2 linked regions of the Ovis aries genome follow. The protein of the gene in region 1 interacts with the protein of each later gene in a pairwise test. Links are inferred from orthologs where the notes say so. Each region holds a gene or a part of one and is shown on either strand. Other genes may lie near its edges.

Evidence for each region. The genes of interacting proteins can lie anywhere in the genome.
Region 2: the proteins of ZNF277 (region 1) and GNGT1 interact in a two-hybrid assay, tested with the Homo sapiens proteins (3 studies listed by BioGRID and IntAct). The two-hybrid records come from large-scale screens. The link is inferred for Ovis aries from reciprocal best matches to the Homo sapiens genes ZNF277 and GNGT1.

What each region holds. Positions count from the first base shown.
Region 1 is NC_056057.1:57,592,543-57,596,462, forward strand, and holds the end of ZNF277 (zinc finger protein 277), read right to left. Parts: intron 2,755-3,920; coding exon 2,580-2,754; intron 1,129-2,579; coding exon 942-1,128; 3' UTR 771-941; downstream 1-770. UniProt on the Homo sapiens protein: Probable transcription factor. Involved in modulation of cellular senescence; represses transcription of the tumor suppressor gene INK4A/ARF, perhaps acting via the Polycomb group (PcG) complex PRC1.
Region 2 is NC_056057.1:11,982,215-11,987,318, reverse strand, and holds the start of GNGT1 (guanine nucleotide-binding protein G(T) subunit gamma-T1), read right to left. Parts: upstream 3,449-5,104; 5' UTR 3,411-3,448; intron 3,174-3,410; coding exon of another isoform or gene 3,086-3,173; exon of another isoform or gene 3,008-3,085; intron 1-3,007. Other genes in the region: TFPI2 (tissue factor pathway inhibitor 2), read left to right, coding at 3,086-3,173, 3,449-3,631, 4,829-5,008. UniProt on the Homo sapiens protein: Guanine nucleotide-binding proteins (G proteins) are involved as a modulator or transducer in various transmembrane signaling systems.

The DNA.
Region 1 (3,920 bases):
ATTTTCTTTCAATTAAAAAATAAATTAAAAAACAAAACTAGAACTTTCAGACTCCAGTGCTCTTGAGCACCCACGCTGTAAAGAACCCATTGGTAAAGAAATGATAGAATTAGAAAATCACCATTGTGCAAGCCCTAAAGAAATATTCTAGATAATATATACCAATGGACACTAAAATGGTTTGATGGCGAACTTTATAATGGTGCATCAGACTGACAGCACCAGATGCAGTAGACTAAACACACTTTTCAACTAGGGACAATGGAAAACGTACGATATTAAGAAGTTACTGTTAATTTTATAAATGTTATAATGGTACTGTGGTCATGTTTATAAAAAAACGATACTTATCTGTTAGCCATGTACACACTGTAGGGGAAAGTGAAGTTGTCTTGAAGTCCATTTTTAAGGAGTTTCAGTTTAGTAACTTTAGGTGGAAAGCAATACGAATAATATAGTCAGATCTTGATTATTCCAAAATAGTGTCCAACGTGTGCATTATCCAGGACTTTGACCATCTTTCCTCTCTTCTGTGGCTCCTCTGCTGGTCCTACATTTACAGCTGACCCAGTGTGGTACAGAAAGTACTCAGCTGTCAAATTTTGTGACTTGTTGGAAGAAGGAAGTCTGTGGGGAAGAAACTGAAACTACTGGTTGAAATCAGGTGTATAAACAATTTGAACATTTCATTTCTCTTTGATTTACATATCTTCCTTATTATAGATAAATATGAGTTACAATGATTATATAATAAAACTTTAGAGCCCAAATACAAAAAGCCTTCATTTTATTTAGTTTCCACTTTACTTTTGGAAAAAAATCATTTTTTAAAAGTTTATTTTACCAAGGACTAATCCTTTGTTGACATTCAACTTTGAAGTATTCTTTCGTGTCTGTCTATTGGGAGAAAACATGAAACATTGCTTCTGTGGCAGTTTCTTCTAGTTTTTCAAGGACTCATGTAGTAGCAACTGGTTCAAAATACTGCTTTGTTTCAAAGCATGCAGTTTAGATGTATCTTCACTAATGATGGCAATATTTCCATTTTGTTCCTGAGCTGTCAGGTCACTTTCACTGTCAGACAGTGTACACAGCAGAGTGTCATTTTCATAAGTTGGAAAGTAATACCTGAAAACAACCACAAATATACTGAATAACCAAAACTATAGATTATCTAGAAAATTTCTCAGCAGTTGAATGTACACATTACTATAATTTTGCTAAGTTTCTTTGCCAACAGTTTCAACTACATTTTGCAAAGGCTGTAAGGGAGAGAACTTCTGAATTAATTTTACTTTGACCTTTATTGGCTGACATCAGTCTTACTAGTATCTTTGTTAGCTGGCATTTCAGCCTTTGCTTGATATTTAACATAACAAGATACTATCTTAAAAGGCAGCCTACTCTACTATCAGGCAGATCTAGCTATCAATTTAATACCTCCTTGTATGAAGCTAAAAACGACATTCCTCTCATTTCTATTCAAAAGTTTCAGTTCTCCCCTAGGGACAGCAAAGTTCAAATACAGTTACTCTTTCATACACTACTCCTTCAAATATCCAATAAAAACAACTGTTTCCAGGTGTGGGGTTCCCCCCCAATCTAATCATCACTATTCATTATAAATTAAAAAAATTAAAAACATCTATAGCATTTTAAGTCTATTACTCTGGTTCCTTCTCTGGACACACTCTGGAGTTAGTTCTGAAATATAAAGGTTTTGAATTGTATAAGAAGAATTATAGGAACTGGGTCTCAGGTTAGTCCAGGGCTGACTCTGTCTCTCATAAATCTGGAATTTTCTGAAGAGGAAAAACTGGAGCTTTTTGCCTAGACTCCTGGGGGCTCTGATGTAACATCCCCTGAAAACAGAGGAATCTCTCTGGAGCTGGAACCCCACAACCTCCCAAAGGTTCCCTCAACTGAGCTTTTTACAACTGAGATTATCCACAGTTGATTTGAGAACCATCTCAGAAGGTGAGACTGGCAAAGGATACCTGGGAGTCTGAGACCATCTCAACAGGTACATACTAGAAGAACAAATGCTTGATATTTTTAAAAGCGCCAGGATGCAAAAAATGCATCAAAAGCCCTAGTAGTGGTATACTGTATGACACAGTAGTTTTATGTTTAGAAGTTTATCTAAATGAAATAATTATGCAAGTGTGCAAAAATGCAGGCATATGCATCTATTTAGAAGAGCAAAACATACAAATCCTGAACATCTAGCAAATTAGGGTAACATCCATACAATGGAATATTTGGCAACCATTAAAAATGATGCAATAGATGTGTAGTGGATATAGAAGATGCTTTTAAATACTTTCTTAACAAAATATAACTTAAAAATCTATATTTCTGTATCTATCTATAGCTATCCATATCACTACACCATAAAATTTGAAGTAGTTGATTACACCTGTAACAGGGAGATTATTTTAAAATCAAGGTTTTTGAAGATTTTTACTTTTTACAATAGACTTGCATTTATTTTTTATTTAAATTTAAAGGAATTAAATAAATGGATGAGATAATGGAGAAGGAGCAAAGAAATATATGTCTGGTTGAGCAGAACTCACTGTGGTTGATCCCATATCTGTTTTTCAGGAAGCAGTGAAGTATGTTTAGCTTCTTCCATATGAGTCCTTAAGTCTGCTTTGGACCTAAACTTCTCATGGCAGCCATAGCATCTACACTGGTGAATCTGCCTCCGAATGAAATTGACCAATTTCACTTGCTGATAGAAATTTAATCCTGAAAATGATAGTATAAAGAATCATCAGACAACCGGTCAGACCCACTTTTGCACCGCTGCAATTTTTTGTTTAAGAACCACTTCTCTTTATTAACCAACCTGAAGAGGCAGTGCGGATTTAAAGCATAATAATAGGCAGAAAATAATAACAGCCAGTACTTATATAGTGCTTATGTACCAGGCACTGCTCTAATCACTTTTCATGCATTAATACGTTTAATTTCCACAATACCCTACCACATAGGTGTTACCGTATCCACATTATACATCAGGAAGCTGTCCAAGGCTGCAAGGCCAGTAAGTGGTAGAGCCAGGATTTGACACCAGGCTGTTGGCTCCACAGCCATGTTCTTGACTACTAACCTATTACATACACAACACATATACATGTGTATAAGAGCAATAAAGTAAAGCAACGCAAGGCAATGGCAACCCACTCCAGTATTCTTGCCTGGAAAATCCCATGGAAGGAGAAGCCTGGTAGGCTGCAGTCCATGGGGTCGCTAAGAGTTGGGCACGACTGAGCGACTTCACTTTCACTTTTCATTTTCATGCACTGGAGAAGGAAATGGCAACCCACTCCAGTGTTCTTGCCTGGAGAATCCCAGGGACAGAGGAGCCTAGTGGGCTGCCATCTATGGGGTCGCATAGAGTTGGACATGACTGAAGCGACTTAGCAGCAGCAGCAGCACTTTCAAGAGTCTAGGAAAGTAGTCTGTGAGTTGAGGGGTGGGCAGTGAGCTTTTTATGGTCTTGGATATATTAGCAAGTCAGTACTTTACGTCTTCATGACACTAATTTTTCTATCACGGTGATCTACTTGAGTACATCTATAACATCTATAAACACTCGAGCTACACTACCAAGCAGAGCAGTAGGTGTCTTTCATACACTATCCATTCTCTACGACGTTCTGCTGAGCGGAGGCCCAATGTCACACAGCTAGTAAGTGCTGCAGCTGGGCTGTGAACTCCAGTCTGACTTCAAAATCCATGCTTTTTTCCACTAGCCCCCTCCACTTTACGATAGAAATTAATCATTAACTTGTATGCCCTCCTCCAGGGGATTTTCCTGACCCAGGGATTGAACTCACGTCTCTCATGTCTCCTGTACCAGTGTAGGCAGGTTCTTAATACTAGCGCCACTGGGGAAGCCCTGTTTTATT
Region 2 (5,104 bases), about 46 Mb from region 1:
TACCTTTGAAGTTGAATTAACTTTTCTTCTCAACATTGTTGTTGTTGTTCAGCCACTCAGTCATGTCTGACTCTTTGTGACCCCAAGGACTGCAGCAAGCCAGGCTTCCCTGTCCTTCACCATCTCCCAGAGCTTGCTCAAACTCATGTGCATTGAGTTAGTGATGCCATCCAACCTTCTCATCCTCTGTCATCCCCTTCTTCTCCTGCCTTCAATTTTTCCCCAATTAGGGTCTTTTCTAATGAGTCGGCTTTTCCCATCAGGTGGCCAAAGTATTGGACCTTCAGCTTTAGCATCAGTCTTTCCAATGATATTCAGGACTGATTTCTTTTAGAATTTACTGGTTTGATCTCCCTGCAGGCCAAGGGACTCTCAAGAGTCTTCTCCAACACTACAGTTCAAAAGCATCAATTTTTCAGTGCTCAGTCTTCTTTATGGTCCAAGTCTCACATCCATACATGACCACAGGAAAAAACCATATGGACCTTTATCAGCAAAGTACTGTCTCTGCTTCTTAATACTCTGTCTAGGTTTGTCATAGCTTTACTTCCAAGGAGCAAGCCTCTTTTAATTTCATGGCTGCAGTCACCATCTGCAGTGATTTTGGAGCCCAAGAAAATAGTCTGTCACTGTTTCCATTGCTTCCCCATCTATTTGCCATGAAGTGATTATCTCAACATGATCCTGGCTAAATGTCTGGTGAAATTTCCCTCCCCTATTAGTATTTGGGAGGTATTGGGAAGATCTAATCTGATTCTCAGAGGAGTATATCTTTCCAAAACCAACTGGCTGCCTCAGTGTTTGACTTGCTGGAGCTAGCTCACATTGGCTCTGGTGAACGCGACTGTATTCATCCATTCCCAACTCTGGTGGTTTGGAATCAGCCATAACTGGGAGCATTTACGCCATGGAAATCAGTAACATATTCAACCCAACACACCCCTCCCCCATTTCATTTTTCCTTCCTGGCAAACTGGTTGTTCAACCTTTATCCTTATAACCCTGTCACTCTTAACCACAGATATCCAGCAATCTGACAGCAAAAGAGACACAGAGTATTTCCAGACCAGGCTAGTTTTCCTAGGAATATAGTCCTTTGCCATGACACCAGGAAAACTGAAAACTGGCCCTAGGCATTATATGTGGAAATATCCCAGATTACTAACTCACCTTGAGCAGAGAGATTTTCCGAAACTGGAAAGAACTCTTGTAAATTCCCTTCAGTATCTTCAGAAGAAGCCAGGAATAGTTACTTTCTTAAGAATATTAAATAGAGCAAGAGGAAAAGGTGGAGGAAGGAAAGACACAGTCATCAAGAGAGCCCATTAAAATATTCTCCAAAAATATCCTTAACATTTCATATAAAATCCCAGTGTAGATCATTTGTTTTGTATAAACCAAAGACTAGGCTCACACTATTATGTCAAAGTACCAATGAATGGTAATAGACAAACTGACCCTGAGAAATGTATGGGAAGCAGCTGATTTGGTCAAAGCTTCAGGACCTACTCGCCACATCCCCCAAGGCTACTGCTCTTTGGATTTTCCTGTTTCGGGTCCAAAAACACAGTTATGACTCAAAAACACGGCTGATAGGGGTGGAGAATCATTTTGGAAAACTGATTGGCAGTTTCTAACATTTTAAAATATTTTACTTGAGAGTAATAAAAGTTGTTTGCATACACAAAGCAGCTTTATTCATAGCAGTAGCCCCAAACTAGAAATAATACAAATGTCCAGTAATAGGACATTCACTGTATACTCATACATTGCAAGACTACTCAACATTTACAAGGAACACACTCTAAGACAGCATGTGAGTGTGTGTGTTAGTCGCTCAGTCGTGTCCGACTCTTTGGGACCCCATGGACTGTGACTCGCCAGGCTCCTCTGTCCGTGGGGTTCTCCAGGCAAGAATACTGGAGTGGGTTGCCATTCCCTTCTCTAGGGGATCTTCCCAATCCAGGGATTGAACCTGCATCTCCCACATTGCAGGCAGATTCTTTACCATTTGAGCCACGAGGGAAAGCCCCTACAGCAGCATAAGTGTGTCTTAAAACCAGTAAAGTGAAGTACAAAACAGTACAGATTTTATGATTCTGTTTGCATGAGATTTAGAACAGGGAAATCTAATTTATGCTGATCAGAAGAGCTATTGTCCCTGGCCTCAGGTTGAAGGATGGACTGGGAAAGGGTATAAGAGAATGTTCTGGGGTGATGACAATGTTCTAATTCTGGATTGGAGTGGTGATTACAAAGGAATATATAATTGCCAAAATTGACCCAGCTATACACTTGGACATATTATGAGCCCATGAAATGTAAATCAGACCTCTACTGAAATATGTGGTTGAAAGTGTTAGTCGCTCAGACTGAAGCCTGCCAGGCTCCTTTGTCCATGGAATTCTCCAGGCAAGAATAGAGTGGGTTGCTATTCCCTCCTCCAAGGGATCTTCCCTACCCAGGGATTGAACCTGGGACTCCTCACTGCAGGGAGATTCTTTACCATCTGAGCCGCCAGGGAAGCCCATATCTATGTCTAAAGGTAAATAGATACGCATATGCTTACATTTCTAATCTAATGAAAGGATCTAATGTAATAAGCCCCGCTTCCTTGGGCCCTAGGAGTTTCACACTTTCTACCTGCCAAAGACACAGACTTTGTGCTTTCAAAGTGTGGATTCAGGCCTCGGCGTGATGCTGCAAGCTGGAACCTTGTGCAATCACACCCAGGTCATTTCCCTCAAGCTTGTCGACTTCCCATCTCTGACACAATGCTTCATCTGGGTCATCCCCGAAGAGCCACGGGAGAAAGTTTGGGGCCAGGTTCAGCTTGGCGGGGAATTCCTCTCCCCCGCACACACTTTCCAGCGCAGGGAGGCGGCCGGGTCACAGAGCTCACGGGGCATGAATCAGCCTCCCCTCCAGGCTCCACGAAGGCGCGCTCCGCCCTGTCCCGTCTCTGAGGGCCGCTAACCCTACAAAAGCAGCGGCACCCACCGCGCTGGAATCCAGACCGCTTGGAGGCTGGACGCTGTGCACCCTCCTCCGCTCCTCTCGCCGGCACCGTCTGAATCCGGACACCATGGACTCGGTTCGCCCCCTCTGGCTGATGCTTCTGTCGCTGCTCCTCGTGGGAACTGCGCTGGGTGATGCCCCGCAGGCGCCGCCAGGTACCCCACCAACCCGCGCTCAGGGGACCCCTTTTCGCCCTGGCCAGGCGGCAGGAGTTCCGCGGACCCCTGCACCCGCTCTCTGCGCCCTCCTTCCCCCTAATTCCTGTCGTGCACCGCAAGTTTGCACTTCCTGTCTCTGTAAGGCCCTTCTGCTGGGCTGGGAAGCTGCTGGGACAAACCTCCCCACCCCCACCACCCTGGGGGAAGCCCTCCCTCCACCGAGATGCGGCTGACCTCCTCCTCTGCCTCTGGTTCTCCTACCCCTCCTGTAGGAAATAACGCGGAAATCTGCCTCCTGCCCCTGGACGACGGGCCCTGCCGGGCGCGGATCCCCAGTTACTACTACGACAGGTACACGCAGAGCTGCCGCGAATTCATGTACGGAGGCTGCGAGGGCAATGCCAACAATTTTGAAACTTTGGAGGCCTGCAACGAAGCATGCTGGAAGATTGAGAGTAAGTGCTCGCTCCCACTCCCAGAACTCCAGTACTGCGGCAGAGAAGGGCTAAGTGGGAAATGAGCTTATTTTTCACATCCCATAGTAAGTTTCATCCTTGATTTTCTCGGATCCTGTTTGGCTTATTGCTTTTCAGTTGACTAAAAGTGATCATGAAACTTCCAACGACAAACATTTCCTGTCCCTTAACTGGCATTTATCATAATTCAGTGTGTGTGCAGACTCCGGAAAGATTTCACCTAAGGCTTAAGGATGCAAGAGTGTCATGTATTAGGTGCAACATAAGTGCCTGTCTGTATTTATCATTAGTTCTAAACCTATGGTTTTTATGCCTTCTTGAGAGGGCATTTTCCTCTTGTCCACTGTGTAGCGATCTGAAATACTTTCAGTGGATTTTGTTATTAACGTCTGAATTTAGCTAATTATAACCTTACTTTTATCCCTTGATACCCAAAGAGATCTTGGGTTGGTATAGAGATATAAAAAATAGAGAGATTCACAATGCTGTTTGCAATTTTAATTATGTTTACTGTCTCTGTGAAGGCCTGTAATAGAACACGGGGCTCAGCTGTTAAAGGAACTGAGCCAGGGAAAAATGTGTATTCCTATGAATAAGTTTGATTAATTTCATACATTGAAACAATCAGAACACTCTGAGAGAAGAATCTTTCCAGTAAGCATGAAAAATTTATCACAGCTGTATCGGGTCTGGAGACACTGTTAAAAAAATCAAAAGCTGAATAGAGTTGTCTCTCAGTGTCTGTGGTGACTGGTTCCAAGACCCCAACTCTCTGATGCCAAAATCCACAGCATTTGCATATAACCTGTGCATATTCTCCCTTATACTTTAATTTATCTCTAGACTCCCTACCAGCATAGGACAAATTCAAACTTTGTTTTTTTGTGTGTTTTTTTTAATGAACTTTCAGGAATTATTTTTTCCTGAATATTTTCTCTCTGGGTTGGTTGCATCTGCGGAATGCTGGACCCAAGGATACAAAATCTTGTTGTTGCTGGACTAATGGGCAATCTTTTGGGCGTTTACTAGCCCAGCGCTAAATATCATGCCTCCCACCCCCATCACCACTCTACCCCTGGCCACCACCAGTGGCTTCTGAAAATACAGTTAAGTTTTAAAGGAAGAGTAAGAAGGCTGATTTTTGACTAACATTGTTTTATGCCCTCGTTTTCCTAGAAGTTCCCAAAATTTGCCGGTTAAAAGTGAATAAGAAGCAGTGTGGGGAGCTCAGAGAACAGTATTTCTTCAATCTAAGTTCTATGACCTGTGAAAAGTTCATATCTGGCGGGTGTCACAGCGATGAGAACCGGTTCCCAGATAAAGCTTCGTGTATGGACTTCTGTGCGCCAAAGAGAGGTAAATACTCTCTTTGTGGTGTCTGTACTTCATTTCTTTATTTAGACTTTAGGGTGAAAACATTAATAATTGATACGAAATTAAGCTGGTTTGCAT